Pelodiscus sinensis: one gene and its partner. The protein of the gene in region 1 interacts with the protein of each later gene in a pairwise test. Links are inferred from orthologs where the notes say so. Each region holds a gene or a part of one and is shown on either strand. Other genes may lie near its edges.

Region 1 (15,937 bases):
ATCTCCTAACTTTGTCAGTGATGATTTCATGTTTTCTTCCCTATCACTGACAACATTTTAAATAACAATAGCGCCCAATTTCAAAATAAGCTCTTTCGACCTAAACTCGGAATAAGCTACACAATTTGCATAGCGCAAATTGTGTAGCTTATTCTGACAGAAAGGTGCTATCTAAACACACCCTAGGTCTTTGACTGCCAGAAGCTGGGACTGGACTACAGCGAAAGGATCAGTCAGTAATTGTCCTGTTCTGTTTGTTCCTTCTGAGCCATCTGTTACTGACTGTTGGATGATAGGATTCTGTGCTAGAAGGACCATAGGTCTGAACCAGTATGCCATTCTTTGTTTCTATGCATATGGAAGAAGGCTGAGATAAGAGGATAAGAAGAGGCATATTGGATTCTTTTACCAAGACAACAGTCTACTGATCCATAACTGAGCTTCCTGAGAGTGTAATTTAGCTCTGCCTTGTAGACAGAAGAGTTTGTTAACTGCATTGCTTTCTAAATCCCCATTTCAGACATTTCATTGATTGAATTCTGACTGCAGCTGGATAAATAATGAAAATGTGTTCATAAAATACTCCTTGACGAAATCCTGCCAACCTTCTCTATGAATATTAACAAACTCAGTTTGTGACCCAGTGCCCTGGACTCAGTCCTGACACAGGTAAGATAATGCAAAGCAATAACAGCAACAGGACTTAAATTGTGCTTCGTTCTCTGACAGAAAAAAAAACCCAAAGTATCTTCTAAGAGCTTTCTAAATCTGCATCCCTTCTATGCTTTGTGCATTAAATGGAGGTCAATAATATTGAAGACTTCTTATAAGTAATAATTGGTGTTTATTAAATCTTGCAGCTTTGCACTGGATTGAGAGTAGTGAGAGTTATAATGACAAAAGCTACTGACAGCATTTGCTTCAGCAAAGGAAACATGGAGCACTGATTGCCTTTCTGCAGCACAGCCCTTTCCAGAATTTACTACTAGTCTCCCAGCAAGGAACTTGAGATGCTTCCTGGGCATAGCCAGGGTTGTTGTGAGGCATCTTGCTACCACCTGTCCTTAGCACAAGCAAGCCATGTTCTCACCTGCTGTGTGTCAGGACTCCGGCATCATTAGCATCTGACAATACTAGCATTATCCTCCAAGCTACCACAGTCCTTGCTCTCTCTTCACTGGTTAACAGGCACATTTCAACCCTTGAGCACTTAGCAACTGCCAATATGGCTCTTCTCTAATCTACAAACCAGGTGTGCCTGCCTTCCCAGTGTCCAAGAAATCAACACAGCCCTCTTACAATCCCTGGTGCAACTCAGGCTCCTTGTTCTACATAGGAGAAGCCTGCCTGCCTGCCTGCCTTCACAGATAGTCAATTGTTTGGCCTTCCTCCTCTTAAATCCAATACCCACCAGGATGGGGGCTAAGTGAGGGCGGTGCTGCTTTTTAATTCCTTCCTATCTGGTGCAGGATTTGTCTACCCTGTCAGAGATGAGTTATTTAAAGTTCCTATCACCAGACACTTAACATATTCCTTTAAAATATCTTTTAATTAGAAATGCACCATACTTGTTCTGAGTCCAGGTAAACATTCTGGAGAGAAAGTCTGAAAAAAATCTGTTGGGCCATTTCTGTATCATAGAAAAATACAGATTGTCCTGCATTCACTCTGCATGCTGACCATTCAGAATGGCTTTTTCCCCCTAAACTGAAAATTTTGCTTGTGTGTAATCATCCCTGCAATTTGAAGGAAATTGATCTAGGTACACAGAGGTTATAAACTGTAACTCTCCAGGCACACACTATCCTTAACTGTTAAAGGCATGTCAGAGCACAATCTTCCAGATAAATGCACACATCTGAGTGATATTGCTACACATTTATTTCTAGGCATTGATATTTCCTTCAATGATTAATCATTTCATCAATTCATACAAAATGTTTAAATATATGCCATGAATATTTGGGACTTGGCCATAACATAAACACTCTTTGAATCAAATGCTCCTTTTTCCAGAAATTATGCTCTGACCTGGGCCAGATGAGCAGAGACCAAACGCTGCAGGAGAGACATTGTGGACGTTGACACCATCCTACATGGCTTATACCTTGATATAACTCAAGGACTCTTTTAAGGGTCATCGTCTCACATTCCTGTAAGAAATACCTTAGGAGCTGAAGTGATTTGACTGCAAATGGTGGGTTTCCATTCCTGGATTACTAAGCAAATATAGGCACCTGTCTGCAACCTGAATTTAAGCACCCAAGAGGCATGTAGCTTATTAGCCCACACTCTGGTGGACATTTCCCAGTGGCTAGTTTATGTGTCTTCCACACCTAAGCATTCTGGCTTTTGTGGATTGCATTCTTAGGCACCTCTCTCTCCCCATTCATCATATAAATAGATTAGGTGCTAATTGTGTATTGCAGTATTGTTCCAGGATTCTCTAGGTGCTATAACTCTCAACTTTGCAATGCCTGCCATTGTACATACTAAAAATATATTGCGATTTCATTGTCCACTGCCTTTGATTTTCTAATTTCCACCTGTGCAAGTGAGTATAAAGTGCATCCAGAACAGAATACATAGATGTAACTTACAATATGCAAACAGATTCACACACACCAGGTGAAATGCCAATCCATGTAAATAGTAGGGTCACCTACTATCCCTGTTTTAAGTGGAAATATCACAAGTACCCCCAAAATTTGAGGGATTGAAAGTGACATTCTCCATAGGTTGTCAGGGATGTGCAAGCTAAAAGCCACATTTCTACCTCCTAGGTGTGCCTGTTATCTCTTCTCATCTGACTCAGCAGAACTTTGAATATCCAGGCCTCAATTATCCTATATCTCCTGTTAACAAAAAGAGGGTCACATGCATTAATCATATTAAGGATACACTTGATACACAAAAACCTTCATTATTCAGATTTATTCAGTGTCTCCTATGCCACTTGAGTAATAAAGTTTGCACTGTATTTATAAAATGCTGTGTTTAACCAGTTTTCTTTTTCTTTAACTTACCTCTGAAATGTTGCTTAATGAAGCTTGATCTTAGTGGAACTAACCCCCTGAGGCTTCTTGCCAGGCCTCAGTGAAGTCACGGTTTTCACCTGTCAAAAGGTCAATTTCATTTACCATTTATTTTTTCTCATGTAATAAATATTATGTACTAGCCCATTTAATCTAGTCATCAATAGTTCATTTTAAAGATTAAACAGTCTTCCTAATGACCAGTCTAATGAGTCATTGAGCTTTATTAAAATAAGACCAAAATAGGCAACAAGTGGTTGTGATAATTAAGGGACAAGAAGGGATGAAAACAGACTCTGCTAGCAGCATTAGTTTCTGCCCTACATCTTCTTATTAAACCTAGAAGAGGGCTAGGCACAAGCACATCACAAGGATTAATGATCACCTGGCTCTACTCCTGAGTTAAGCTGTTAGAGAACTTTGATGGAGGTTGGGGGGTTAATAAGGAGGGGCTGCTCCACTGTGTGCATGCTCCAAAATCCATTTCATTGAGAGTTGTAGGCTACATCTACACTGGCAGCTTCTTGTGCAAAAACTCTTTTGTGGAAGAGTTCTTGCACAAAAAGTCTTCCACAAGAGCGCGTCTACACTGGCATGTGCTTTTGTGCAAGAGATGTGCTTTTGCACAAGAGCATCCATGGCAATGTAGATGCTGTTTTGTGCAAGAAAGCTCTGATGGCCATTTTAATCATAGAGACTTCTTGCACAAGAAATTCATGTTGCCTGTCTACACTGGCCTCTTCTGGAAGAGCTCTTGCACAAGAGGGCTTCTTCCTGAAAGGGAGCATCAGAGTTCTCGCAGAAGAAGCCCTGATTTTCTACAGTACAACGTCAGTTTATTTGCACAAGAATGCCAGCATAGACAGGCAGCATGTTTTTGCGCAAGAGCAGCCGTTTTCACACAAGAACGCTCCAGTGTAGACACAGCCATAAAGTTTCAAGACTTTCTTACCTACTCATTCTGCATGCCAGAAAGTCCATCTCCTCATGAAAGGAGAATGAAGCATCAACTTTGAAAGAATGTATCTGAGTTGCTGCTATATTTCCCCCCTCTCCTCTAGATTTTCACACTGGAGAAGGACGTTCCTATGTTAAACACCATTTAAAACTTTTATTCCAACTGATTATGCCCCATCCAGACAGGCCTTAGGAATTTTGAAAAAAATCACCTGGTTGTAGAAAAGTGCATACAGATCATTACCAGCTTGCACACACAGCAGGTTCTTTGACCTTTCTCCTCCACTTCCCTTACTACTCCAATACCCCTGATGATATGTCACTTTAGAAAAAAGGGAGAATATTCCCCATTACCCAGATTTATATACCTGAAATAATTATTTTCCAACTGTAAAGTCCTAAGGATTCTCTTCCCCTCCTCCTCGCATTGCTAATGAACTGAGGTACTTCATTTGCTGCTCCCTCGCTAATGATAACTCCTTTAACCTCCACCATGAATGCAAATATAGCACTTGTTCTTCCCTAGTATGGGATGGGATGAAAGTAACTCCTAACTCCCAAAATGGATGCTATTCAGCCATCTTGCCTTTCCTGAGTGTACAGTGACTAGACTTTGGAGCCTTACACACTCCTATGCAACTCTGACACAGGTGTGACCAGATATATCAATATTAGGGTCTTTGTCTATATAGCACTCTATTACCCCACATACAGTCCTCCATCATGATTTTTCACACCTGCTATCTGGTCACCCTCCACATCCTCACTCTTCCCTACTCTGCAGTCAGAAGGTGTATTGACCCTGAGCAGTGAATGAGCTAGACCAGCAATGTAATGCAGCATATGTAGTAGTTACACTGCCAGCTATGTTTCTTGGTTCCTGTTCAGTGGGAGTTAACTTTTTTTTTCTCTCACTTGCAGTGGAGCTTCTTTGATTTCAAAGATGTGACAGCAAAAGAATGTAGTCCAAGAAATGCTGAGCAGGCAGGCTGTTTCTGGAAATGCACATGATTGTCCCTGTGCAGCTTTGGAATGAGTGTTCCATGTAAAAGTGCCAACCCATCCAAACAAGCAATGTGAAAATAAAATACATGTCCCCAGCCTTCAAATGTGAAACTTATTAGTCTGTTCCTTTGAATGTTAGCAAATCGTGTAAAATCTCCACTCTTGATCAAATAGCTGTTATCAGCTCAAGCAGCAGTTTCTCTGGTCACAATCGTTAGGTTTCGTGAAAAGCAAATTACTTCCAACACACACGTCTGTTTGCCTATCATTTCACAACCTGTTGCCATATGGGCAACCACATTTTATTCTTACATACACTGAAGATATCTAAAGAGGACAACCCCCCTATAAAGCACCCCGACTTCTTGTATTAATCAGTTACATGTTGAACATATTATACTCTCCGGCTGTTTAATCTCCAGCTTCTGGTCACATTCTCGCTAGTGGTGCTGGCGCTTTCTTGTGCTCCAGGATCTAAGTGAACCAGGTGCCAGCTCCCGGGGAAGGGGAAATTTGAAATTATTGTATGTGCCCTTGCTGCCAGGGGCTGGGGCTGCAAGACTGCAGTGCAGTTGGGAACGCTAGTGGGGTGGCTTGTCCTGGGAGCTGCCCTTGTGTGCTTCTCCGCCCTCAGAGAGGGAGAAGGAGTGGGCAGAAACAAAGCAGGTAGAAAGGCTTTGGAAGGCGAGACTGGAGTTCAGATGCTCTCTCCCCAGTTCCTCTGCCCCAGGGGCTGTACGAGGGTGGGCAGGCAAGGGGCAAGAGGAGTGGAGAGCCAGCGCCGCGCGCGGCTTGGACACAGCAGCGGAGTCACATGTCCTCCTTGTACAAGTCCGGTGCCCAAGAACAAAACACCAAGAGAGTCCCTCCTCCCCGCTTTCCCGCTGCCGCCCGCTCCGCCTCTCCGCGCTTGTCCACCCAGCTCACGCGGGTGCCGCCCCGCCAGCGGCGGCAGCAGCGCACGTGAGGAGGTTGCGCGCATCTGGCGGGCGGGCGAGCGAAGCCTTTTCAGTGTCTTTCGCGCTACATCCCGCTCAGCCGCCTGCTCCCCGGCGCCCCCCGGCCCGGCCCGGGCAGGGCAGCTGCCCGCAGAAGCCCAGCACGTGTCAGGCTCCGCTCGCCTCGCTGCCTCCCGCTCTCGCCGCCGCTCACCTGCTCCCGCGGCCAGCACCATGGACAGCGCCTTCCCCGCCAACTCCAGCGCCTGCGGCCCCTTCGCGCCGCCCGCCGCCAGCTGCCCTCCGCTGCCGCCGGGCGCCTGGACCAACCTGTCCGGCCGCCCGGAGGAGCCAGGCTGGAACCAGTCCGACCCCTGCAGCGGCAGCAACAGCAGCCAGGAGGGAGGCAGCGGCAGCCTGTGCCCGGGCGGCGGGGTCAGCCCCTCCACGATCACGGCCATCACCATCATGGCTCTCTACTCCGTCGTGTGCGTGGTGGGGCTCTTCGGGAACTTCTTGGTCATGTATGTCATCATCAGGTAAGGGGGGAAGGAGGCTGCCCCGGGGCTAGGGAGAGCGGGGGGCACGCACTGAGGCCTGGGGGGGTGGCGAAGGGGACGGAGACCAGGGTGGCTATAAAGTACTAAACACTTCGTTCTGAGTCACTTTCCTCCGCTTGACACCGAGGTGGGGAGAGACTGGACGTGGTGTCCTTGCCCTCGACTGGCTCGGCTGCAAGTACGGTCCTGCCCGGAGATACTTTCCACTGGGAGATGTGCCTCTCCCCCCTTGCTGTTCTCCTGGACACCTAGATAGGGGCTGAGAGTCTTGCAGCTTTCCTCTTCAGGCTTCATGAACTTGGGGGTGGGGCAGGTCTTTTAGAGAGACCTCTGTTTCTCTCGTTCTCTGCCTTGTGGCTAATCGTAGAAGCTAGGGAATTGTGTTGCTGAAATACCCTATGCAAGTCAGGGCGCCTCTGCAAGACGAAGTGCTGGGGGAAAGTTGTGCTCTAGGTCTGGCGGAGAGAGCACATCTCTCCCAAATATCAGACCAGAAGAAGGCAACTGAAGGCTTCTGTCTGATGGAGGCAATTTCAGCAAGGCGCAGAAGTGAGCTACCTAACTGAATAATAATAATTTAGAAATAAATTACTGCCATATCTTCCAGAGGCAAAAGTGACGTGTATTTGTTTAAGGAGCAACTTGTTACCTTCATGGCAGTGATTTTTATAATTTAGTAAACACGACCTGAGTGTCCAGAACAAGTACCCTAAAATATGTATATTCGCAGAACATTTCTTACTGCTTTCACACGAAATCCTAGCACACTAGGTAAGAAGACAAAGGGTTAGCACGAGGTTTTTTTTTTAACACCCCACACAAATGAGAATATTATAAAACCTAATATTTTTTCACTCATCCCCACCCCTTTCTTCCTGGGGCTCTGTAGTTTCCTCTTTGACATGCCAACTGACCTCTACTAAGAAAAGGATGGGGCTCATTAAAATTAATTACTGCTTTTCTGGTGGTGTTGCTATATTTTGCAGCTTTCTAACAAATAATCTCACTTCCAGATAAATATATTTACTAGTGGGTTTTTAAAAAATAAGTTGTGGTTGTTTCATAAGGGAGTCTTCTACTCCACTTGCAAATCAGATTTCTTAGTACAAGGCAAAGAAGAGAGGAATGAAATTTGCTCCTTACATTTGTCTAACATTTGCTTGAAATCAGATTACAATCACTTTCCCTGAGAAAACAGCACCATCTATTGAAAGTACTGATCACAACAGATAGACTTGCTGTAGGAAATGGGGGTTCAATTAGAATACATGTTCTAGTGAGAAGCATCTTTCTTGCATTACTTTGTATGTAATTTTTAAAGATTTCATGATGCGATAAGAGGAGAGAGAAATAATTTTACACATTAGAGCAAAGTTATAAACCATTCATGTTTAAGTAAATAAAAACAATAGGATGCCTTACCAAAGGCAAAATAAGACTAGCAGTTATTTTCTAAAATTGTTATGTTTTTCTACTAATTTAATTTTGTTGTTTTAAAATAAATTTGTATTTTCCAGGGAATAGAAGAAGGGAACTTTTTAATGTCTGATTAAACCTGGGACTCATGAGGCAGATTGGTGTAGCAGGGCACGATTAGCAGGAAAAGCATGGAAACTAGATGCTTGTGATGAGATCCTAATGGTAACTGAAAGGACAGACAAGAGACAGTCCCAAAGCATCTGTTTGCACTGCAGTCACAACCACAGAAACTTCACAAAGGACATACGAAAACACAAGGTTTGAGGTATTGATGAGAATAGAAATCTCTCTCACCCACAGTATTTATTTAAGGGCACTAGTAGCATGCTAGTGAATTTATGGCACACCTATTAAATATAAGCCAATTTGATAGGGTTAATGGAAATAAAGATTGAATAAGTGGTTCAGACTGGAGTAGTCCTAACCCAGGCCAGGGAGTTGTTTTTTCAAATTACCTTTCAGGTACTGGATTTTAAATTTAAATAGCTGGAAAGATTCTGTACCATTTCATGGGGTTACCAAATCAAGATATGGCATTTTCTGGCAACATTCCAGCTATTTAAATACTTCTAAATGTCATTATCACCACACTTACTCTATGCATACATTGAATGTATTAAGCTGGGGAAAATCAGATGTATAATATAACACAGTAAGTATGAATGTAAGCAAATAAGCGTTGTTTGGGGGGGGGGGGGTTAGTTATGCCAGCTAGAACCTGTCCAATAGCCAATAACTGATCATTACATTTTAATTATTTTGTAGTTATTATTATTTGTACTACAGCAGCATCAGCAGGCCTCATTGTCCTAACCATGCTACATAGTCATTGTAAGGGATGACTAACGTCCCAACGATAAGAAAAATAGACAAGTGGAGAAAGGAAATATTATTACTTTCATTTTACAGATGGGGATATGAGACACAAAGAGGTTAACAGTGGGATTCATAAAGGTACTTAGGCACCTAAGTCCCAGTTTTAGGCCCCTCTGAGATCCACAAAATTCCTGCTTGGCTGCCACTTAATTTTATATGCACTCAGCACCTATGGTTTTTCAGTCAAGGTCCCTATGTGTCTATGCTCCTGCTTGTGCACATGTACACTGCAGCCACCTGCTAGGCATCTGGGCACTTATCTCCTATCTGAGACCCACAGTCATTCACTAACCAGGGGAAGATAGTGTGACTGCCTAAATTTGTGGGGATGAGATTTCATGCAGTGGGTATGTTCAAAGGCTGCCTACCAGATTGGATTCCTCAGATGCATTTACACAAAATTGCCACGGATGAAGACAAAGCAACCTCCTTCATGGCATTTATCCCAATGGTTAAGGTACACACATAGGTTCAAGTGCCCCCTCTGCCTACTAAATTAAGCAGATTTGAACAGGGATGTGCCACCTTGCAGCAGAGTGATTTAACTACTAAACAGTAGAGTCATTCAAGCCATCTCTGACTCAATATTTCATTATTTAATTAAAACAGAACAACTTTAAATGGAGAGATTGAGGGAGACCCATGTCAGAATGTTATATTATTTCAATCGGAGTTAGGCACCTAAATGCCTATAGGGAACTGGACTTGGGTATCTTGCATGATCAGGCCCAACAAGAACAGTAATGACACAATGTTCAGAGGTGTTGAGCTTCACTAACACCCAAATAAATGTCTCCTTTGGAAATGTAGTTGAAAACATATGGGCTGCGTCTAGACTGGCAAGTTGCCAGCTGTCTACATTGGCCACTTTAATTTGCACAAGAACACTGGCCATCTAATGTAAGATTGTCAGTGTTCTTGTGCAAATACTATGATGCTCCCACTCAGGGATAAGCCCTCTTGCACAAATGTATTTGCGCAAGAGGGCCAGTGTAGACAGGAGAGGACTGTTTTGCGCAAAAAAGCCCCGATGGTGAAAATGGCAATCGGGGCTTTCTGGAGCAAAACCGCATCTAGATTGGCACGGATGCTTTTCTGCAAAAAGTGCTTTTGCGCAAAAGCATTCATGCCAATCTAGATGCTCTTTTCCACAAATGCTTTTAATAGAAAAACTTTTCCATTAAAAGTATTTACAGAAAATCATGCCAGTCTAGATGCAGCCATGGAGTTGCCCCATAGTTAAGGTGAAAACTCTGTTAGAAGTACTCAAACATCTACCTTCTAACTCCTCCAAAAAGAAAAGTTCTTTTGGCACACACATCTCAACTCTGAGTGCATAATCTTTCCATATCTTATCCTTGATAATGCTGAGAAAAAGTTTTAAAATTATGGGTTTGGGGGCCTCAAGTTTGCAAGTTCTTATATGATGTTCAGGCCTAGTGCTAATCCACTGTTCAGCTCAAGTCACTTCTGCAGCTTCTCCCTTATTCTCTGGAGTGATGGGACAAGTGAAAGACATCAGTTTAAATGTGAATCTCAATTTGCAGATTAGAGGCTTTGCTTATCTATTTGTTCTTTTCCTTCACGAAATTTTTGCCACTAAAGAGAAGTACTTGGCAACTATGCAGTGGCATTCTCACTGATGCAAGGTCAGGTTTCCCTGATTTGCTCATAACTTTTTACAGAATGGTGTATATGTACATTCGGGATATCTGCATCCTGTCAGATCAAGCTGTGTGTAGCTATTTCTAAGTTGTTTCTATCAGTGATGATCAAGCATCTCCTCTCCTCTATTTCTAGAGCTTAAGTTTTATAACCCTCCATTGATTTATTGACTATTATGGTGCTTTATCATTTATTTTCTTCATGTAGTCCATATAAATATTAATTCAAAAAATAATAGAGTTCTGTAATGTTTTTCAAGTAACATTAATTATAATTTTCTTCTTAATTTAACATTTTACTAGGCAAACATTAAAAGCTATCAGATTTAGAAAACTTATGCCTAAATAAATCTGTAAGTCTTTAAGGTGCCACAGAACTCCTCATTGTTTTTTGCAAATATACACTAAAATGGCTCTGAGACTAAGCAAACATTGTTAGGCCACAACAAATGTGACTTTCAGCCATTAAGTAGCACATAGTCATGATATGCTATTAGTAACAGAGTGAATTCAGTTACCCAAATCTGTGGATGCCATCCTGCTCCCATTTAAGTCAGTGGGAAATTTTTCATGAATAGGCATGAAAGGAGGCCCGGATCCTCAAAGCTGTTTAGACACTTAATGCTCAGTGGTCTTAATGGGAGGTAGCTGACTAAATACCTTTGAGGATCTGAGACTAAGACTTGAGCATATCCAGTATTAGGCAGATTGGCTTACATTTGTATTATACCATACTTGATATAACAGTGAAGCCCAGAAAACAGAATATTCACCTGAGGGCCCAATCCTGCAAGGTGCTGAGCTCCTTGTGAGAGGAGTTTAGTGCCTTCAAAACCCAGTAAATTAAATGGGAACTGAAGGCACTACACACATCTCAGGACTGGAACCTTAACTACATTTCTGGTAAGTTAAGAAGATTGACATACTCTTGTTGACATGTTCTTTACAACAAGAAATGCCTTTGCCAAGTATCAAGACAGCAAGTGATTTGCCTCATACACCAAACCTGAAATTATAATATAAGAACAGTCATATTAGTTCAGACCAGATGGATCAGGTCCATCTTGTCCAGTATCCTGTCTTCTGACAGTGACCAATATCAGGTGTTTCAGAGGGAATGAACAGAACAGGACAATGAAAGATCTGTCCTTTGTCATTCAATCCCAGCTTCTGGCCATTAAATATTAGCACACCTATCTTTGACAAATGGTAGAAAGCAAAATTCCTCCCTTCAGATTTTTCAGGATGTGTTTTTACTAAGGATTTAAAGGTAATATAAGTAGTGACTAAGCCCAGTGAAACTGATGGGAATCTTTTGGAATCTTCACTGGGTTCTGGATTAGGCTCTAGAGTCTAGAGAAACAAAGAGTAACATTACGTTTATTTTTAATCACAAAATATGGTTTATATGTGCAAACAACCGAACATTGTACTTTACTTTGGCAGTCCAGACATGTTGGTTAGAGCCCAAGCTCTTGCCAGGACATATTTCAGAATCATCCCTTTGTGACCAGATAGAGAAGAGGGAGCCACAGACAACAGCCAATTCAGCCTGAACGTGCCAGGGTCTGCATGTATTACCTACTGATAAAACAAGTTAAACTTCTTCAAAATTACCAATTTTAAAACCAAATATTTCACACAGAACTCTTACCTTTCTCTAAGTATTTTGCTTGCCATGACATTTTTCACATTTATTCCACTTATCAAAATTATGACCAACATTTTCCATGTAAAATCTGGGAATTCAGTGGTGGGCTGGCATCTAGCAATTGAAGTAGACACAATCCCCCTCACTAGGTTGTCCTAAGAACTCTCAAGAATATGAGGCAGAAGTAAGACTGCTCAAGATTTGGATGAGAAGCAATGGTAGAAGAGAAAGAATGCTCTGGGTTCATGATAGGAGGCATGGGAAATGTCTGGGGCCAAACTAAGCCCATTCAGGACACAAAGCACACCATAGCATTAGGAATCAGTGTAATGCTATTGCACATATTTGATAGCAACCAGGCTAATCTCTCCCCTCTGAAATGGTAAGGTAGCAGCATTGCTCCTCCCCCAATACTTGGCTTTGTAACTGAGGTGAATCTGCTTGGGTGAATTGGTCAGACACATCGCACTCTTCTGCTCCTGCCTCCTGTACAATGATTTGCTAGATTAGTGTTGCCAGGGTACCTCTGAGCAGAGGTCTGGAAGTTAACACTCCACTGAGATGGACTGTGAGGTTCCCTTCTCTCTGGGTATGTCTAGACTACATGGCTCCATTATTGGAGCCATACATGGCTCCATTATTGGAGCCATGTAGACGAGTTTACTAGACATAGGAAAATGAAGCGTACTCTGAGAGTCTCTGCAATCAGAGGGTATATCTAGACTACATGGCTCTATCGACGGAGCCATGAACATGAATTTACTAGACATAGAAAAATGAAGCGGGTGATTTAAATAATCGCCACTTCATTTACATCAAAATGGCCGCCACGCTGTGCCGATCAGCTGTTTGGCGGCACAGCGGGGCAGTCTGGACGTATTGCGGTCGACAAGGGAAGACTTTGTTGATCGCTTCGCTATGCCTCCTGAAATGAGGTTTACCGGAGTGGTCAACAAAGGCTTCCCTTGTCAACCGCAGCGCGTCCAGACTGCCCCACTGTGCCACCAAATAGCTGATCAGCACAGCATGGCTGCCATTTTTGATGTAAATGAAGCGGCGATTATTTAAATCACCCGCTTCATTTTTCTATGTCTAGTAAATTCATGTTCATGGCTCCGTCGATAGAGCCATGTAGTCTAGATATACCCTCTGATTGCAGAGACTCTCAGAGTACAAACTCAGACTGATATCATTGCATTGGCTGCACTTCAGGGGCATTTTTGAATTTTTCTTCATAACCAAGAAGGCTTTAAAACTTTTTTTAATCGAAAGACAAGTTTCTAATGTAATCACAAATCCCAGTAGCTAGAGCATCTGCCTCAATTCAGAATCAATGTTGGGGGGACAGAATGGATGGAAAATGTTGACACTGACTATATATTTTTACAGGCAGGCTTTCAGTAGTGGGCTCAATGTTTCTTTTGTGTGTGTGTGTGTGTGTGTGTGTGTGTGTGTGTGTGTGTGTGTGTGTGTGTGTGTGTGTGTGTGTTGTAACAATCTTGAGAGGGTAACTTTTTCTTCGTATATTTTGTGGAAAATTTTGCTGCTTATTTCCTCAGACTCTCTCTTCTTTTGATGGTATGTAATTTTCTCTTTGCTAATGGCATTTTCTTAATTGCTTTTTAAAGTGGTGAAAGTGTTTTTGGAAGTGTTTATAAATTTTGTGGAGTGGGAAGGGGGGGAGAATTGTCTGTGTGTTGTTTAAAGTGCTGTACATTAGAAGCTCATTAGCTCATATTTGTGATTAAGAAACCCACTCTTGAACTTTTGAAATTGGCAAAAGGCCTGATCCATAGACCAGAAAAATCAATGTAAGTCTTTTAGTTGATGTCAGTGGGTCTTGGATCAGGCTTGGTGGGAACAAACAGTAAAAAAGTCAAGGTAATGTATCATAAAATATGCTTGACATATTTAAATACTTGAAAACTGAATTAATTACTGAATAATGTTCCAGGATATACTACTGTAGCAGAATATATAAAATGAATGAATTTCGAGTACTATGTGTCCTCACTGTAACTGTGTTTCATAATAGTCATTTGCAGAGTAATAAAAAACTGCATTTTTGTGCAAATTATGGAATGTGGAACAGCAAATTCTGCTGTGAATTTTTAGTAAGCTTTCTTCATGTTTCTTCAGTGCAGAAGCTCAGGTCTAATAATGGTGTTATCAGCAATGGAATTCTGCCAGAAATCTATTTGCACTACCCACTTCATGAAATTATATCTAACAACTCTCCAAGTGATTGCTCTTTTTTGCTTGCTTGTTTTTTTTTGTTTGTTTTGTTTTGTTTTAACTTTCTTCAAAGTGGGAAATTTAGTGTCTGGGATGTTAATAGTAATATTATTTGTGGGGCTGGCAATCACAGTAACACAAGTGATTAATTCAAAACAAATACATTTATTTAAAATTAATTGCCATTTTAATCACACTGTTCTAAATACCAATTTACATTTATTTTAACTGCTTTGGATATTTTTTTCTACATTTTCAAACATACTGATTTCAATTAGAACATAGAATACGAAGTCTATAGTGCTCACTTTATATTTCATTATAAATATTTGCACTAAATAAAAGACAAAGAAATAGTATTTTTTCAATTCACCTCATACGAATACTGCAGAGCAATCTGTTTATTGTGGCTGTGCAACTTATAAAATGTGAAATTTTTAAATAACTGCACTGAAAAACAAAACAGTGTAAAACTTTAGAGCCTACAACTCCATTCATACCTACTTCTGATTCAGCCAATTGCTAAAACAAACAGGTTTGTTTATATTTACATTTTTTATTTACAATATCACCTGAAAGTGAAAACAGGTCTTCACATGGCACTGTTGAAGCACTGCCAGATATGCTAAACATTCACATGACCCTTCATGCTTCGTCTTGTGGAGTACACTATTGTTTGTTTGACTATGTTTTCGCAGTATAAATATAAGTTTTTTAAAAAAAAAGAGTACTCTGCATTTTAATTTAAATCAATATATTTGAAAGTGTAGAGAAATATCCAAAGACATATATAATTAATTTAAATTGATATTCTATTATTAACTATCATTAAAACTGAGATTAATTGCAATTAATTTTAATGGTTTGGCAGCCCTAATAATTTGTTAGTTTTATTAATCATACCAGGGCTTACTATACTAGCATTTTATGAGAGCTGTCCAGAGGACAATTCTGGTTTGTGGCAGCATTTGACATTTTTCTTCCACATTAGCACAAAACCAAATATTTTGAATATTTTAATGAAAAACAAAATTGTGTTGTAAATGTCTGTTTTCAGACTGAAACAATAGCTTTTCTGTCCAGGAAGATGTTTTGAAGTCCAGGGCTTGCTAGTTACTTCAGACGAGAGAGCAACTCTCACATTCTATACTGCTCCAAATCCCTTGGTTCAGAGTGATCTGGGATGGCAAATTGAGCTGTGAATCAAAGACTTGAACCTGAGTATCTCTCAAACCAGTGTTAAGTCTCTTTCTCTCTCCAATGTTTCAGTTTGGACAAAGTGAAGCTTTGTCAAAAATGTTTCTTCCAGTTCTAATTTTTACTTGCTTACTTTCTTGAGGCTGCACAAAAACACATCCCTGGCCATCATAAGTTTCACTGTTAAAAGTACTAGAGGTAGACAACACTGTTTCCGCAGGAGATGCTCTCTGTAGAGTCACTCATTGGGGGTGGATTAATTATGCTGGCAAGAGAACTCTCTCCTGCTGGCATGGAGAGGCCACATAGGAGGCCTTGCCATGGCTCAGCTGAAGCAGTA
Region 2 (15,937 bases), on another chromosome or scaffold:
TGCACCCCCCGTGCAGCAGCCCGCAGGAGGATAACGACTAATCGAGCCCCTGATATTAATGACTGCCCCATTGGCCCACCTGAAAATGAACTCCATGTAGCCCGTCGCGGGGTGTTTCTAGACTACCGAGCCTGTCCAGCAATGGCCGCATTGCCCTCGAGAGGAGATACAGCTTACTCCAACGGGAAGAGCTTTTTCTGCCCGGAGAAGATCCCCACCTCCCTGAACAGTAGCTCTGCCAACAGACGCCCACAGCTGCGTCGGCACTGGGAGGGTGGTCAGCATCAGCATGGCTCGTGTCTAGCCTCTGGCCAACATGCCAATCACTCTAGCTGTGTTTCTCAGGGCTCCGAACACACGGCCTAACCCCTGGTGTGGACGTGGCTGAGTCGATGGAAGGATGCTTACCTCCGCCAGTGCTCAGGCTGTGTCTGCGCTGCAAGGGCTTTTAGTGCCACGGCCCTGTCGTTCGAAGTCAGGCAGTTCAAACCCCGTGTGTCTGCACCCCGTTCCATGAGCAGGGTTTGCATGAAGGACAGGAGAGTGCTCCTGCCAACAACGAGCCGTTTACGCTGCTGCTTGCCATGGCAAAATGTTTTTCGTCGAGTAGCGGGGGGGGGTAAGCCCCCGTGAATAACAAACGTGGTGTCACTCAGCTGGCCGTGTGGACAAAGCCTCCAAGGATGGATTAACGACGCGTCCGGGAAAAACGCCTCTCTTGCTATAGCGCCAGAGCTGAGTGGCAGTTCGATGGCTACACCCTATGGATGTGAGCAAGGATGGTAGGTAGTGTAGGCAAGGGAAGGCATTGCTTTCCCAAAACTGTCTACACTCCCCAGCTGCCCTGGAGGGCTTGGGGCCGTGTCATATGGCAGTCCAGAGGTCGGGGCAGGCTGGCGCTGTGCTGCACGGCAGCCCAGCTACTTGGCAGCCAGCAAAGGTTGGAGCCGTGCCGTGTAACAGCCCTGGCCCTCAGCTGGGGTTGGCTGGCGGGGGAGGTTGTAGACAGGGCCTGGCATAGCCCGTTTCCACCAGCGGAGGAGCCGTCCCATCGGATTTGATGTGTCAAACCAAGCCAAGTTCTTTCGTTTTCTTTTGGTGAATGTCCCCCCCCCCCCCCACTGCTATTGGCTGGGGCACCCTGAAAAACGCTTCACAGCAGCGAGATTGGTATTTTTCATTGTACAGCTGGACTGCTTCATACCTTGGGCTGGGGGATGCGTGTTCTATCCTTGGGGGGCCAAATGATCATTTTATTTGCCTAATTAACCAGTGATTGAATGGCCAAATAAACGTTACATTTGTTTATACGTACATGCCTGTTTTCTCTGAGGGATGCTTACACTGCAGCACTGGCCCCCACTGAGACTGCGTGCTGATTTCAACAGGGGACCACTGTCTCTTATTTCAGGTACGTTGCTCCCCTGTTTAGGACTTAGGGTGCGAGGTGCTGTACATTCACACCATTCAAAAAGTCCCTGCCCCAAAGACCTTGCAGTCTATATAGACAAAGGGAGAAATAGGAAACTGAGGCACAGAGAGGGAAAGTGACTTGCCCAAGATTGCCCAATAGGGCAGTGGCAGAGTCAAGAATAGAACCAAGGTCTGCTGAGGTCCCAGCCACTGGACCATCCTGTTCCTGCTTCAGATTGCCCATGGATGTTGGCCTGGGTTTAAGTTTACTAAACATTGGGTGACCATAACTTCTCAAAGGGAAAATGGGACCCCCAGCCCAGCGGACCCAAGCCTTCCCTGCCTCCCGTCTGTGGCTGGGCTGAAGTTCCCCTCCCCACCAGACCCTAAGCACCCCCCAATCTCCAATCATCTACCTGCGACCCCCTGCAAGCCCCTTCCCCCTGCACATGGGGTTGGTCTGCCATGCCCCCACCACCACCCGAGGCCACACGGCACCCGCCTGCACATTGGGCTGCCGAGATCCCTCCCTCCTGCCAGCAGGGCAAGTTGGCTAACCCAAGACGCTGCCCCTAGCCACTCACCTCCTCCCCCATCCCGCATGTTCCACCGTGCCCTGCTAGGGATCTCACCCCGATTGTTTGGGCACAGCTGGGCAGGGGGCCAGTTTGCTGTTGCCAACTGATGACCTGCTGGCAAAAGTGGCATAAATGCCCAGTTTTGTCAATCATAAAGAAGTCAGGTGGCCCAGGCAGGGCCGAAACAAGGGACTGTCCCAGCCAAAATGGGACATCTGGTCACCCCAGCTAAACACACAGCGCCCCAGGAACGAAACAGAGACCAAAGGGAGGAGCAGCACAATACCCCATTATTCCCTTGCCGCTTGAAGGGAGTCAGGGCGACTGAGGTCATGGGGTGGTTAGAGGCACCGTGATGGAGCATGGCTACCAAAGCCGGAGAAGGGAGAGGGGCGCCTCCGGTTTGGCGAAAGGAAAACTCTTGCCGCTGGTTAGTCCCGAGATGGGTGGCTGAGATAAGGCAGGTAGAAAACAGAGCGACTGGGAGAGACGGGGATGGGCAGAGGAGGATGGATGGATGGATGGATGGATGGATGGACGGGTGGATGAGCCCATGCCACAGACTTCACCTGTTCGGCTTTAAGGGACTGGCTCAACCCAACCAAGAGGTTGAGGGATTTGGGCTTGTTTAGACTACGGGAGGAAGAGGTGGATTTGAGAACAGCCTTCTGCTTCCTGAAGGAAGGTTCCAAAGAGGATGGAGAGAGGCTGTTCTCAGTGGTGACACATGGCAGAATGAGGAACATTGGTCTCAAGTTACATTGGGGGAGGGCTAGGTTGGAGATTAGAAAAAACTATTTCCCTAGGCGGGTGGGGAAGCGCTGGGACCGGTTCCCTAGGGAGGGGGTGGAATTTCCATCCCTGGAGGTTTTTAAGTGCCGGCTGGACAGAGCCCTGGCTGGGATGGTGGAGTTGGGGTTGGTCCTGCTTTGGGTAAGGGCTGGACTCGATGACTCCTGAGGTCTCTTCCAGCCCTGGGATTCTCTGCTTCTAAGCAGAGTTGGGCCCGACCCATGAAACGGTGCTGAGGGCTTGGCCTTGCCCCGGCCCACCGAGGCGCCGCGCTGGCAGTGCATCCATGTGGGCCTGTCGCCGGGACGTGCCCTGCCCACGACGCAGCCTGCCCCACATCACTGAACGTTAAGTCACTAGTGCCAGGCTCTACTGCCCTGGAAATCAAGACGGGTTCGGCATCAATTACTCACGGATCATTGCAGCCCCCAGGGGTGGTTTCCATTGAGTCTGTTGCTACACAGCCCCGGCTCTGCGTAAAGGGCCTGTCCACTCTTGCGCCCGCTGGGGCTTCGTGCTCCACTCAGCTGGCTGGGCCCCATCTCCCAAGAGGGTTCCCTGGCAACTCTTCCGTGGCCCCACCCCTGCCCGGCTGCCAGGAGCCAATGCTGCGCCGAGGTCGGGGGTTCGGGAGCGGGAGACACGTCCGGCTGCTCAGCAGAGCCGGGGTTCCCACGTGGACCAGCAGTTCAGAAATCCCTCCCCCCCCCCCCCAGCCGCACCGATCCCTTCTCTCGGGATGATCCAAAGCCCCCGAGGTCCATGGGAAAACGCTCATGGGCTTTGGCTCCAGTTCAAGCCAAGGAGGGAAAGAAATCCCGGATTCCTTGGATTGCAGCCACAGGAAAATTCCCTGCTTTAAGCCGCACCCTGGTCCGTCATTCCTTCCCCCCTCGCTTTTGGGAGACTCTGACACCACTAGCAAACCGAGAAATGACCTTACCGGTGCTGTCATGGCTCAGTCATTCTGGCGGGTGGACAAGAGAGGCCCCCCCCAGAGACCTCCAGCCCGGAGGGAAAGGTAGGCAGCAGCCTCATCCCCGATGCAGGTCAGAATCCTCATCCTGTTATCCCTATTGCATAGATGGGGAAACTGAGGCACGAAGTGACCCAGGATCCTCTTTGCTTTGGTTCCTTTGCCCCTCATTTGACCTGGGAGGATTTTCACTGCTGAGGAATGCTAAGGCTTCCGGGCATGTCTACAAAGACAAGGCTTTGCCTAATCCCAGTCACACACCAATGAGCCCTCCCCCCCCCCCAGAAAAGGCCAGGCCTGCTCCGAGAAGATTGCCAGGCACCAGGCCAAAGGGCAGAGTGAAGGGGATGCCAACTGCTGGAGACACAGCAACTCGCGGACGGCTCAGACGTTCAGGGCAGAAAACAGACCAGCGACGAGCTGCCAGCCCGGCTGGAGGGGAAGCGTTTTATAGTCCCACACTGGAGCAGCTAAGGACTCCCACACCTGACCCTGAGTTGACACCAGTGCAAATCGGGAGCAACTGCTTTGACTTCCATGGGCCCGATCCTCGGCATGGATGTAAATCAGCCGACCCCATTTGCTTCAGGGACAGCAGTAACCACTTCCAGCTGGGTGGAACTGCATTAACACCCCAGCGGGCGTGGGTCCCAGGTAAATAAGGGGCAGAGACTCAGGCCCAGCAGCTACTAACTGGAGCCCTTTGAATAAGGAGGGACCCGGAGTGAGGAAATGAAGGTATCTCAGCTAAAGGGACCACACCGGCCCTGCCTTTGTGTTTTTACAGGGCCTGGCACATCGTGGGGCAACCAGAAACACTCTGACTTGTTACTGAGTCCCGTTATTAGCGACCATGCTCAGAGTCCTCCCCCACCCTTCACGCTGCCCCTCCCCACTGGAGGATACGCCCCTTCCCCGGGGGTGAATGCCGCTTGCGGCCATTTGATATTAACCTGTCGCCTTGAGTTGACAGGATGTGCCGGAGGGTTGTCATTGAGTGCATGACCCCAACTCCTGCCCCATCCTGGCCCAGCCCAGGTAAAGGGAGGGGTCTGAGCAGTGGCTGAGGATAAACGGATGAGGGAGGGCGATCCAGCTGTTGGTGTCTATTGTATGACATCTGGAAGAGCCCCCTGCCAAAGAGACTGAGCAGAGAGCAATACAATCATCTGTGACCCAAGAACAGTTCCCTGGCATGCAAGCAACCCCCCTCCCCCCGCCCCCCATACATTAAACACATCGTCTGGGGCGGTCACAAGCACTCAGCACCCGCCGAACGCAGGTGCCTTGGATCCCAATGGGACCGAAACAGGCAGAGACGATTAACTCCGTGCTTCGTCGCTTGGCTTGATCGAGGCCACGTTCCGATCCCCAGGCCCACGTGGCGTTCCGTCCCGCGGCGGGAAGGTGACATCAAGCCATTCCTCGCTCAGCACAGCTTCGGAATCAACCCCCCCCCCCCCCCCCCCCACTGCCCGACTCGTGGGAAGCTCCTCTCGGAGGGCTCCTGGCCGTGTTCGGAATATCCATCATCGTGCCTTTCAAAGAACCCATCAGTCCTTAGATGTGCCCCCGGGGTATTTCAGCAGCAATCTCCGGTGACTCCAGTGCGGGAGTTAGGCTTAGAAATCTGACGGCCCGCTGTGGCCCCGGAGTGTTTAATTAAGCTCATCCTGTTAGATCAGCGTGTGCCTTTAACTGAGTGAAAGGTTTCTTTATGAGAGGGAGGGGGGCTGTATGTCTAATAGTTCCTCTAACCAGAAGATCAGAAGTTTCAGTGGTTTGGGGGACGACTCTGTCATTCTAGCACCACCCAGGGGCCAAGCTGATGAAAGAGCCCTGCTGGCATGACCTCGCCGCCTCCTTCCTCCTGGGATGTGGGACAAAACCACAGCTGGGTTTGTCTCAGTACCAGATGGGGGAGAAACCTAGAAGAGCGGGATTGTCCTGCTTAAAACCCGACAAGTGGCCTGCATAATAGCTACATGACATTGCCCCATGTAGCCGAATACCTCCTAATCTCTGCAGGTATTTATTCTCCCGAAGCACCCCAGGGAGGCAGGCACATCCACTGTACAGAGGGAAACTGAGGTCCAGAGAGATCCTGGGGGACATTTTCAAAAGCATCTAAGGAATCTAAAATATATTGGGACCCATAACGTAATAAGAACCAGGGGGTCACCAAATGAAATGAATTGGTAGCGGGTTTAAAACAAATAAAAAGGAAATATTTATTCACACAGTGCACAATCAACCTGTGGAACTCCTTGCCAGAGGATGTTGTGAAGATCAGGACTTTAATAGGGCTCAAAAAAGATAGAAATGGCGTCCCTCGCCTCTGTTTGTTGGCTAGGAATAGGCAACAGGAAAGAGATCTCTTGATGATTCCCTGTTCTGTTCACTCCCTCTGGGGCACATGGCTTTGGCCATGGTCAAAAGACAGGACATTGGGCTGGATGGACCTTTGGTCTGACCCAGTGTGGCCATTCTTATGTTCCATTCTTATGGGACACAGGTGCTATTGGAAATGGAAATAAAGCTATATCTTGTGGGGGAGGGAGGAAGGATGGTCCAGTGGTTAGGGTGTTGGCCTGGGTGTATTTCCCTTCACTGCCACAGACTCCCTGAATGATCTTGAGTCACTTTGTGCCTCGGTTTCCCCATTCATACAATAGGGATCACAGCACTTCCTTTCCTCACAGGGGCGTTGTGAGGATAAACACATTACAGCCTGCAAGGTACTCAGAGACAACGGGGGCTGGCCAAGGACCTTACATGGTATAAAGAGATGCTTTGAACCTAAATGGCTGAAAACCACTCCCCTTTCAGACAGCTGCTTGGGCCCATACCCTGGAGACCAGCCTGAGAACTCAGTGTCTTTCCTCCCAGCGTCTAGACAGCGGGGCTATTTCAGGATACCGGAAGTGTCCCAAAATAGCAATTCCGCATCTTTAAACGCGCCCGTTATTTCAAAATAGATTTCAAAATAACGGGAGTGCTGTTCCTGCGTCCCTGTAGCCCTCGTTCCAGGAATATTCAGGGACTCGTCGGAGAGGCGCTTTAGTTTGAAATAACCTTGAAATGTGCATAGGGAAAATTACGTCGCTTATTTCGAGGCAAGGGGGCTGGGTCGACATTGGGGAGTTCTGGCGGGGCACCTGGCATGGCTGAACCCTGCTTTCCCTGCTGCCCACGAGCCGTGGCCTCCCCCTATCTCTGGGCATAAGGCCGCTTTTATCTAGTAGCCGGAAGGTGGAATTTAGGGACCAGGCTTGGAAAAAGAGCAGCTCTAAGGTATCCCCGCTGTTTGGGCAGAGAATGAGGCAAGGGGGGAGGGACGGTGGCTTATTTGGGTGGATGAGAATAAACTGGGGTAGAAGAGGGGAGGGTTTGCATTGCCCTGCAGAATCCTGTGCCCTGTGATTTCTCCTGCGGGCGCCTTTCTCGGTCTGTCCAAAGGGTGGTGCTGCTCTCTCGTTAGCCTGCTCAATTAGGAATGCAGCAGCCCAGAGGTGAAAGGGAAGACATTCCTGGAAGCACTTTTAGTCGGGCCCAGCTGGCCACAGAACTAGGGCTGGTACCAGTGTGATGGCATTGGGGGGGGGAGGGGGGAACAGCCACCCAACCCCCCACCCTGCACTGGCACCAAAGGGGTGTGGAAGCCAGGCTGTGGCCGGAGAGCGAGATTCGGAGCTTGGCAGCCCCCCCCCCCCCCACCACGTTTACCCAGGTGCAGGGAGTGCGGCGTGCCGACATGTGAGAGGAATTCCGAGTGTAGCCAAGGGAATAGTCCTGCCTCCATTAGGGAAACCTCCTTTTAGGGCGAGCCGTCGTTATCAACCCAGTTTTAACTAACCTGTTTTAACCAGCGCACCTAGCGAGCTCAGGGCTTTGCCCTTCTGACAGGATCAGCCTAGCGGGGCGTGGGACCCTCCAACCCTGGCCGCCAGCCTCAGCACAGACCACTAGAACCGGAAGGGACCTCGCGAGGTCATCGAGTCCAGTCCCTGGCCCTCGCAGCAGGACCAAGCTCCACCTGGACCATCCCCGACAGGTGCCTGTCTAACCTGCTCTTCCGTATCTCCAGGGATGGAGATTCCACAATCCCCTCAGCAATTTATTCCAGAGTTCCACCACCCTGCCAGTGAGGAAGTTTTTCCTAATGTCCAACCTAAACCTCCCTTGCTGCAATTGAAGCCCGTTGCTTCTTGTCCTAACAGCACAGGGCTTCTCGGGGATTTGATCCCAGGACGTCTAGCACCCCAAGCAAGAATCATGCCCCTAGACGGTCTGTCAGACGGAGCTTTCCCCAGGGACGATGCCCCCACAGAGGCCTGGTTACCGGTGGACTCTCACCGCTAGTCCCCTTGCCAGGGATCTTCCCAGCAGCCCTTCCCCTTGTTGCTTTTGGCTCAGCGGGGGAAGCTCTGACCCGGCCGGATTATTATTATTATTTCAGCCCTGTCTGGCTTGTTTTCCTCCATTTCCTATTTCCAGGCTCCCCGTCCCTGTCTGTGACAAGGCCGCTCTCCCCACATTCCAGAGGCTAGTCCCCCCTCCCGGCGCTGGGCTCTTCCCCAATATCTCTGAGTTCCCCCGACTCTGCAGCCAGGAAAGGAATCAAGTCCCCTATCCACCCCCGCCCCCCGACACACACCCCAGCCTCACACACCTGCCAGAGCAGCTGCCCCTTTAAAGGCAGGCTCTGCAGCCGGGCTTTAATTTTTGCCAGCCCCCAGTTTCCTGCAGCTCCTCCCCCACCCCCCTGTCTAACTCTATCCAGGGTCCGTTTCCTCCTTGGCACTAATAGTTCCAGGGATCTGGTGGGAGCAGCCGCCTGTGTGGAAAGAGCCACACGTTCTAAGCCCCTGGTCCCAGCGGGGGCAGAGCCTGGTCCCAGCCGGAGGGGCACAGCTGTGCCTGGCTTAGGTGAGTAACTACCAGACTCCAGCTGGCTGCTGGGTCCCTCCTCTGAGCAAGCCCCCAGGGCAGGCTGGGCAGCGGATCTGCTGTGAGCCTGCTGGGCTTAGGGACAGGGGCTGCAGGGAGGAACCAGGGGAATGCAAAGGGGGGCTGTGTCCCACTGCCTGCACCTTTGGGGTGCATGCCTCAGCCCCTGGCTTAACCCCTTCCTGACTGCACCTGGCCCCAGCCACCTCTCCCTGCCCTGAGCCTTAATTGGCTAATTGGCAGGTGTTGCTTACAAAGGAGCTTCAGGCCCCTGCTGCGAGGTGCTGGTGGGAGGAAGGAGCCGTGAGCCAGTGCCCTTAAGGGGGTGGCTTAGCTCTGGGGGGTGAGCGATACCCCAGGAAGGAATTGGGTGAGTGAATCTGACCCCCTTTGGGGCTGCATGCCTTGTCTGGCCATTGCCCTGCTGGGGGGGTGTTAACATCAATGTCTGGCCCCGTGGAGCTGGGTTTGGAGTAACTAAGCTTTGCTCCCCAAAGGGTAAACCAGTGGGAAGCTGGGGGGTGGGTCTCTGCTTTGTCAGATGCTGGGCCCCTGGGGAAAAGGCTGGAGCCTCTGAGTGTTTTCACCCTGGTCTCCTACCCCAGCCCCTCCACTGTTTCCAGGGCTCCTTGAGCCTCAGTGGCTGGGGTCTCTCGGAAGTGACTAAGGCTGTTGGAAAGGGGGGGCCCACATGAGGTGGGGGGCTTAGCTGCAAGGGTGGTTTGTAGGTGCAGGAGGTTCTGGTCCATGCCCAGGGCTTCCTTGGGGGAAATGGGGCCCTGGGCAAACTTGTGTTTTGGTGCCCTGACCCCTGTGGGCATAGAATGACCCATTTCCCATGGGCTCCCCAACTCCTGCACCCCCATCCTGTGCCCCCTTGGCCCCTAACTGCTGCACAGTGCCCCCTTCATCCCCACCCCTGTGCTTCCCCCCAGCCCCATCCTTCCAGTATGTCTTGCCATGCTGCCCCCCTGCCCCACTGTGCCCCTTTCCCCCACACACACACACACCGTACCTTCCAGCCTCTTTGCATAGCAGTGCCCATGTCTGGTTGCCCCTTACCCTCTGCCTATGGTCCTCTGGGTATAAGCCCAGTTTGCCCAGCCCTCAGGCTGGTCCTGTGTTCTTACATCCAGGGGCTGGCTGGTGCCCTTGGCTCGGGGAGAGCTGACCTGTGCGGTGCCTGGCACTCGCCTGCCCTAGGGCACTTGCCCAGCTCTTACAAGAAGCCAGGGGACAACTAACGCCCATGTCCTGCCCCAATGGGACTTCTGCTGGGGGGGGGGGAAGCATGGCTGGGCCAACCCCTTCAATTCCAGGGTCACTAAGGAAGGCAGTGCTGGCAACTGGCCAGGAAGCTGAGAGCTGGCCTTGAACTCGCCCTGTGCCTCTAACTAAAAGCAGCAAGCCCCAGCGGTACGGTGCTGCTTTCCCATGGCCCCTTGGGACAGCTGGACTCCCTAGTCCGGTAACTAAGGTTACTGGCTCCTGGCCATTACCAGGCAAAAGTGGTGCCACCTCGTGTGGGTGGCTAGTGCTGTCGGGGGGTAGCTTTCTCTGCTGGGTTTTTGTGGTCTCCCTGTGTGGGATGAAGGGGGGGTGCTGGGTCTCTGGAAGGCTGGCATCTTGCTGGAGCCCTGGTAGGTGGCAGGGATGGGAGCCTGCAGAAATATCTCTTCTACCCCCCCCCCCCCCCCCCAGTGAGCTTTCAGGGCTGAGAACTAGCCCAGAGTCAAGGCTGCCCCTGCCCATAAGCAAAATATGCAGCTGCATTGGGCTCCAGGAAACTTGGGGCACCACATTTTTGTGGTGCCCTACACAGCCGTGTGCTAGGTACAACTGTGCCTAGCACAGCTGTCTCTAGGAGGTTGTGGGGCCTGGGAGCCCCCTCCAGTCTCACTCCCTCCACCCCTGAGATGGCCCTGCCAGGCCTCCCAGGAAGTAACCGGCTCCCTGTGCTCTGATGGGCTGACTGAGCCAGCTGGACAAACTCCCACCCCAGCTGCCACTGGTAGCAGAAGGTCTTGTGCTCCACAGTCTAGGGATGTGACTGGTTAACCAGTAAGTATCGCTCTAACCGGGGATGCTTACTGGCTATGGCTAACCAGCAGGGGGCTGAAGCTGCCCCCCTCCCCAGCCTGGCAGAGCCCAGCAGAGGTGTTCCAGCTGGGTCATAGCAGGTAGGGCTTCCCCCCTGGTTAATCAGTTAACTGGTTGTAGTTAACAAACAGGATTTCACATCCCTCGCTGAAGCCCCACCCACCTATTGGCACCCGGTGCCAGCTGCCAGTGGGTGTCCTTAGCGCTGTTGTAGCTCTGAAACCCGAGCTGGAGGGGGTGGGCAGGCTGTGGTGTCTGCCCAGCCCGGTGCCTGGCATCCTTGGGAGCAGAGGGGTAGGAAGCCCCGTGTGTTCCCTGCCTCTGGCTCGCCAAGGCTAAGCTGTCGGGTTGCCTTAACTCTTGTCCTCTCCTTGCCCTCAATAGCACAAGTCCTCTAGAAGATGGGGGACTGGGGCTTCCTGGAGAAGCTGCTGGACCAGGTCCAGGAGCACTCGACAGCGATTGGGAAGATCTGGCTGACGGTGCTCTTCATCTTCCGGATCCTCATCCTGGGGCTGGCCGGGGAGTCGGTGTGGGGGGATGAGCAGTCGGACTTCCTATGCAACACCAAGCAGCCGGGCTGCGTCAACGTGTGTTACGACAAAGCCTTCCCCATCTCCCACATCCGCTACTGGGTGCTGCAGTTCCTCTTCGTCAGCACCCCCACCCTGGTCTACCTGGGCCACGTCATCTACCTCTCGCAGCGGGAGGAGAAGCTGAAGCAGCGGGAGAGCGAGCTCCGGGCGGTGCAGGTCAAAGACGTGAAGGCGGAGCAGGCGCTGGCGGCGGTGCAGAAGAAGATGGACAAGATCTGCGTGGCAGAGGACGGGCACATCAAGATCCGTGGCTCCCTGATGTGGACCTATGTCATCAGCGTGGTCTGCAAGAGCATCTTCGAGGCCGGCTTCCTCTTAGGCCAGTGGTACCTGTACGGCTTCTTCATGCCGCCCATCTTTGTGTGTGAGAGGGACCCCTGCCCCCACAAGGTGGACTGCTTTGTCTCCCGCCCCACGGAGAAGACGATCTTCATCATCTTCATGATGGTGGTGGGGCTGATCTCCCTGGGCCTCAACCTTCTGGAGCTCTTCCACCTCTGCTGCAAAAACCTGCTCAGCAGCCTAAGGAAGGCCTCTTCCTCCTCTCCCTGCCCAGCTGGGGACATGGACCCCTTCCCAGACAGTAAGACGTGCCACTACCTCCCCCTGAGCGACAGCCACTCCCCTCCCTACCTGACCTACAACAAGCTCTCCAGCGAGCAGAACTGGGCCAACTTCAACACCGAGGAGAACCTGGCGCTGCGCAATGGGAACAAACCCACCTCAAATGGCTATGCCCTGGCCACCCAGCCCGTGCAGGAGAGGCAGTCCAGCCGGCCCAGCAGCTCTGCCTCCAAGAAGCAGTATGTCTAGAGAGCACTGAAGGGGTGTCCATAGGCCATAGAACCAAGGGAGTGCCACGGGCCTCTTGGCCACGTAACCTGATTGCTAGAGAGACTTTTAAAAAAAACAAAGCTCTCCCTGGAGACCCACTTTGGCTAACTGGCAGGTGCCTCCTGCTCTCTGCTGCCTGTTGTGTGTCTGTATTTAAAGTGTGACTGCTGTCGAGGTGCTTCCAGGTGTGCGCAGACTGGCCAGGCCATAGGATGCCAAACCTGGGTTCAATCACATGATGCGTTGTAGCCAGCTGGCTGCCGTTTACAGCGCCAGGCCGATTCTTACCATTCTGCTGGGGAACTGTACTTTGGGCTCCGGGAAGAGTTGGGGGTTGGGAGTTATTCGCCAGCGCCAACAACTGTCATTGACGTTGCCGAGGGACCAAGACTCGCCTGTCTCTGGCTGCAGTCCCAGGAGGGCTGTTGCTTTGTCCTTTTAAACTGTGTAGACAAAATCCCTCCTTCCGCTGAATGGGAAGCCGCCTGGGATCTGGGGTGTGTTCCAATCCAAGGCGCTCTGCATTGGGGTGGGCCAGCTACTGAGCCTTTGGGGCAGGGGATGTGGGATGATGGCCATAAAACAGCAAGGGAGCAGATGTCATGGGACATTCCCTTCTTCCATCTTTCCTGGGCTGGGCTTTGTAACCCGGACTCTGCACCTCTCTAGGCAGAAGCTTTAATCCCTAACCAGGGAGGTAATCTGGCCCAGCCTATGCAAATAATTCCATCACCTGGGGGAAGTGGGGAGCAATTTCTTTGTCTCCAAGGTCTTACGCGTCTGCAAGCGTTCGGCAGTTCCCCAGGGCAGCTTGCTGTGAATTAATTTGGGGGAGGGGGGAGGCACTTAAGTGGCAGCTAAAAGACAGTCAGTCAATACAGCTAGCCCTGCTCATAAGTCTTTTTTTGGGGGTGGGGTGGGGTGGGGAGGGGAAGGGAAATCCCCTACCAAAATAATCCCAACAGCTAGCTCATGCCCCCCAAAGCTGCATGATTCAGTAGCTTCTCCAGGCCAGCTGGCAGGAGGAAACCCTAATGCACTAAGGCAAGGCTGTACCTCAGGTTTTGGCACCTGTCTCCCTGCCTTCAGTTGCCCCACGGCAGTTAGAAGCCCGGTTCCCTGTGCCGGTTGAGAGGGTTTGCAGGTGTAGGCGATTTCCCCGGGTCCTACAGCCCTGGTTCTCTGTTCCAGGTGGTGTCATTTCAGGGAGGCAGCTTTCCAGGGGTTAACTTTATTTTAACCTTCTGTAGACAAAGCGACTGTCTCCCAAACTGCCTGTTTCTCCCTGGCTCTGGTCAGCTGTTGGCTAGTGTTAAATGTGAACCTTCACTTCCCGGCCGCTCCCTTGGGATGGGTTCAGACCAGCTGGGAATGAAGCCCCTAGGCTTATGGAGTGTGAGCCTGGGGGGCTGCCCACAGACTCAGGCTGGGGGGAAGGGAGCGAGGAGGCTGTGGGTTATGGAGTGTGAGCCTGGGGGGCTGCCCACAGACTCAGGCTGGGGGGAAGGGAGCGAGGAGGCTGTAGGTAAGCGACCTGCCTGCTTCAGAGACCTAGACCCACAGATGGGGCTTCAGGCCGATGACGCTGTTCCGAGCTGGCTTTCCGCAGGATGCCCCAGAACCAGCAGTGGGGTCTGGTGAAGGACGGGGAGGGGTACAGCTGGGTGGTGGGGTGCTCTCTGAACTGGCTTAGGTCATTGGCTATTTTACTTCAATGAACACCCCAAACTTTTTTCTTTATTTCAAAAAGAGGGGAGGGGAGGGGGGAATCCAAGTCACTTTGTTTTGCACACGTGGCCTCCCCTGCTGGAAGTGTTGTGGGCCGCTGTCCACGGTGAGAGAGCAGACTCCAGTGAATTGAGCCTGCATCCCCCAAACTGTGAAACAAAACAGTCGAACTGTGGTGTCCTGATGGCTTCCGTTGCAAGTGGAACAAAACCGAGGCTCTGTGTCCTTGCCTCACCCCAGCGCACAAAGTCCGAGCCGAGAGCGGCGTAAAGGGAAGCTGCTCCTCTGGGAAGACGTAACGTTTTGTTGAGTAAAACTTGGATGTAAAATACCTACTGCTCTGTGTGGTGCTTTCTCTAATGGGGCGCGTCTAGTATGGTGGACCGCAGGTCATGGCTCCCAGCTTTTTGGTGTGACGAAGTGAGGGCTGTAGGGGTTTTATTCCCCTTCTTCTGTTGCGTGTGTGTTCTCCTAGGGAAGTTAAGTGTCGCTTAATATGGTAACTGCTGGAAATCTTGGTAGCTACACACAGGGTGGGCTCTTTCCTACAAGTGGAGCTGGTAGTCCTTGCCCGCCTGCATCCCAGGGCGCAGGCTGTACTGCTGAGCTAGCTGATTTTAACTAATCCCGTTAACTTGTATAAGCACCCGCTTATGGGTTAAATTCTAAGGTCCCTCTTTTCTACTGTCCTGCCGTAACCCCCTCTGCCTCAGTTTCCCTGGGCACTGCACCAGTTTCTAGATCAGCAAGCACCAGCCTATAGAGTGGGATCTACCAGTAGATCTTGGAGCCTCTGACAGGTGATCCTGACTGGCTTGGCCAGGCAGCTATCAAGAGCTGGCCCTTTAGTTGCCCCTCTGCCTGTTGCCAAGCTGTTCCTGCCCTCTGCCTTGAAGCTGCCCCCCCGGAAGCCGCCTGCTTGCTGTGCAGGGTGTGGCAGGGAGAAGAGGCAGGGCTCTGAGGACCAAGTTCCCTCACTCATGTACCCCATCTCCACACAGAGAGAAGGGGAGAGATCTTGGCAATGCAAATCTGTCACTCACATTCTGTGTGTTTCTGTCATTCTCTCTCTCTCACACACACACACACACACACACACACACACACACACACTGCCCTTTGCTCTCATCGCCTGACACGTATGTGTGGGGGGAGGGTTGTTACTACTTTTACTGCTGGTACAGTGGGTTATTTTTGGTTTTGGACTGGTCTGTGCATTTCATAATTTTCATCTCTCTCAATTCTTTGAGTAGTGAGTTCTAAAATGCTGAACCGGCCATGGCGGGAGTAATTACCCCTGTGGTAATTGCTGCCCCTGGAAAGGGTGGGCATGTCCCTGAGAGGCCGAGCAGGGGGTCTCTACATTGCTGTCTTTGCCCACACCACCACTCCGGCAGCTCCCATGGATGAGTAATGGGGAACCGTGGCCAGTAGAAGCTGTGGACTCAGTGCCGGTGCATGCAGGGCAGCACATGGTGCCAAGGAGCCAGTGCTATCCATGCCAGCTGTTTTCAGGACAGGGCCAGGGCAGGAGTAAGCCTGCCTTAACCCCACTGCTCTGCCACCCAGAAGCCATCTCCATTAAATGGTGCCCAGCCAGAACCCCTGGCCCAGCCCTGAACCTCCTCCTGCCCCACATGAGTCCCCCTGCACCCGAACTCCTTCCCAGAGCTTGCACCCTGAAATCCCTCCTGAACCCTAATCCCCCACCCTGGGCTAAGCCCGGAGCCCTTCCCACACTGTGAACCCCTTGGCCTATGACCAGAGCCTGCACCCCAACCCACTGCTCTAGCCTGGTGAAAGAGCGGGAGGAAGGGAGATGGAGTGAGCAGGGTGAGGCCTTGAAGAAGGGGCGGAGCATCAGAGAAGGGGCGGGAAGGAAGTGGGGCAAGGGGATTTGGGGTTGAGGTAGATCTTACATTGAAAAAGCGCTCTTGTGATTAAAAAGGCTGGAGTCCACCATCCTAGAT

What was found.
Region 2: the proteins of OPRM1 (region 1) and GJA4 interact in binary tests that used the Homo sapiens proteins (3 or more experiments, as listed by UniProt). The link is inferred for Pelodiscus sinensis from reciprocal best matches to the Homo sapiens genes OPRM1 and GJA4.

The regions. Positions count from the first base shown.
Region 1 is NC_134713.1:109,686,315-109,702,251, forward strand, and holds the start of OPRM1 (mu-type opioid receptor), read left to right. Parts: upstream 1-6,027; 5' UTR 6,028-6,169; coding exon 6,170-6,474; intron 6,475-15,937. UniProt on the Homo sapiens protein: Receptor for endogenous opioids such as beta-endorphin and endomorphin. Receptor for natural and synthetic opioids including morphine, heroin, DAMGO, fentanyl, etorphine, buprenorphin and methadone.
Region 2 is NC_134735.1:6,567,553-6,583,489, forward strand, and holds GJA4 (gap junction alpha-4 protein), read left to right. Parts: upstream 1-8,533; 5' UTR 8,534-8,688; intron 8,689-8,930; exon of another isoform or gene 8,931-9,079; intron 9,080-11,193; 5' UTR 11,194-11,210; coding exon 11,211-12,218; 3' UTR 12,219-14,298; downstream 14,299-15,937. UniProt on the Homo sapiens protein: One gap junction consists of a cluster of closely packed pairs of transmembrane channels, the connexons, through which materials of low MW diffuse from one cell to a neighboring cell.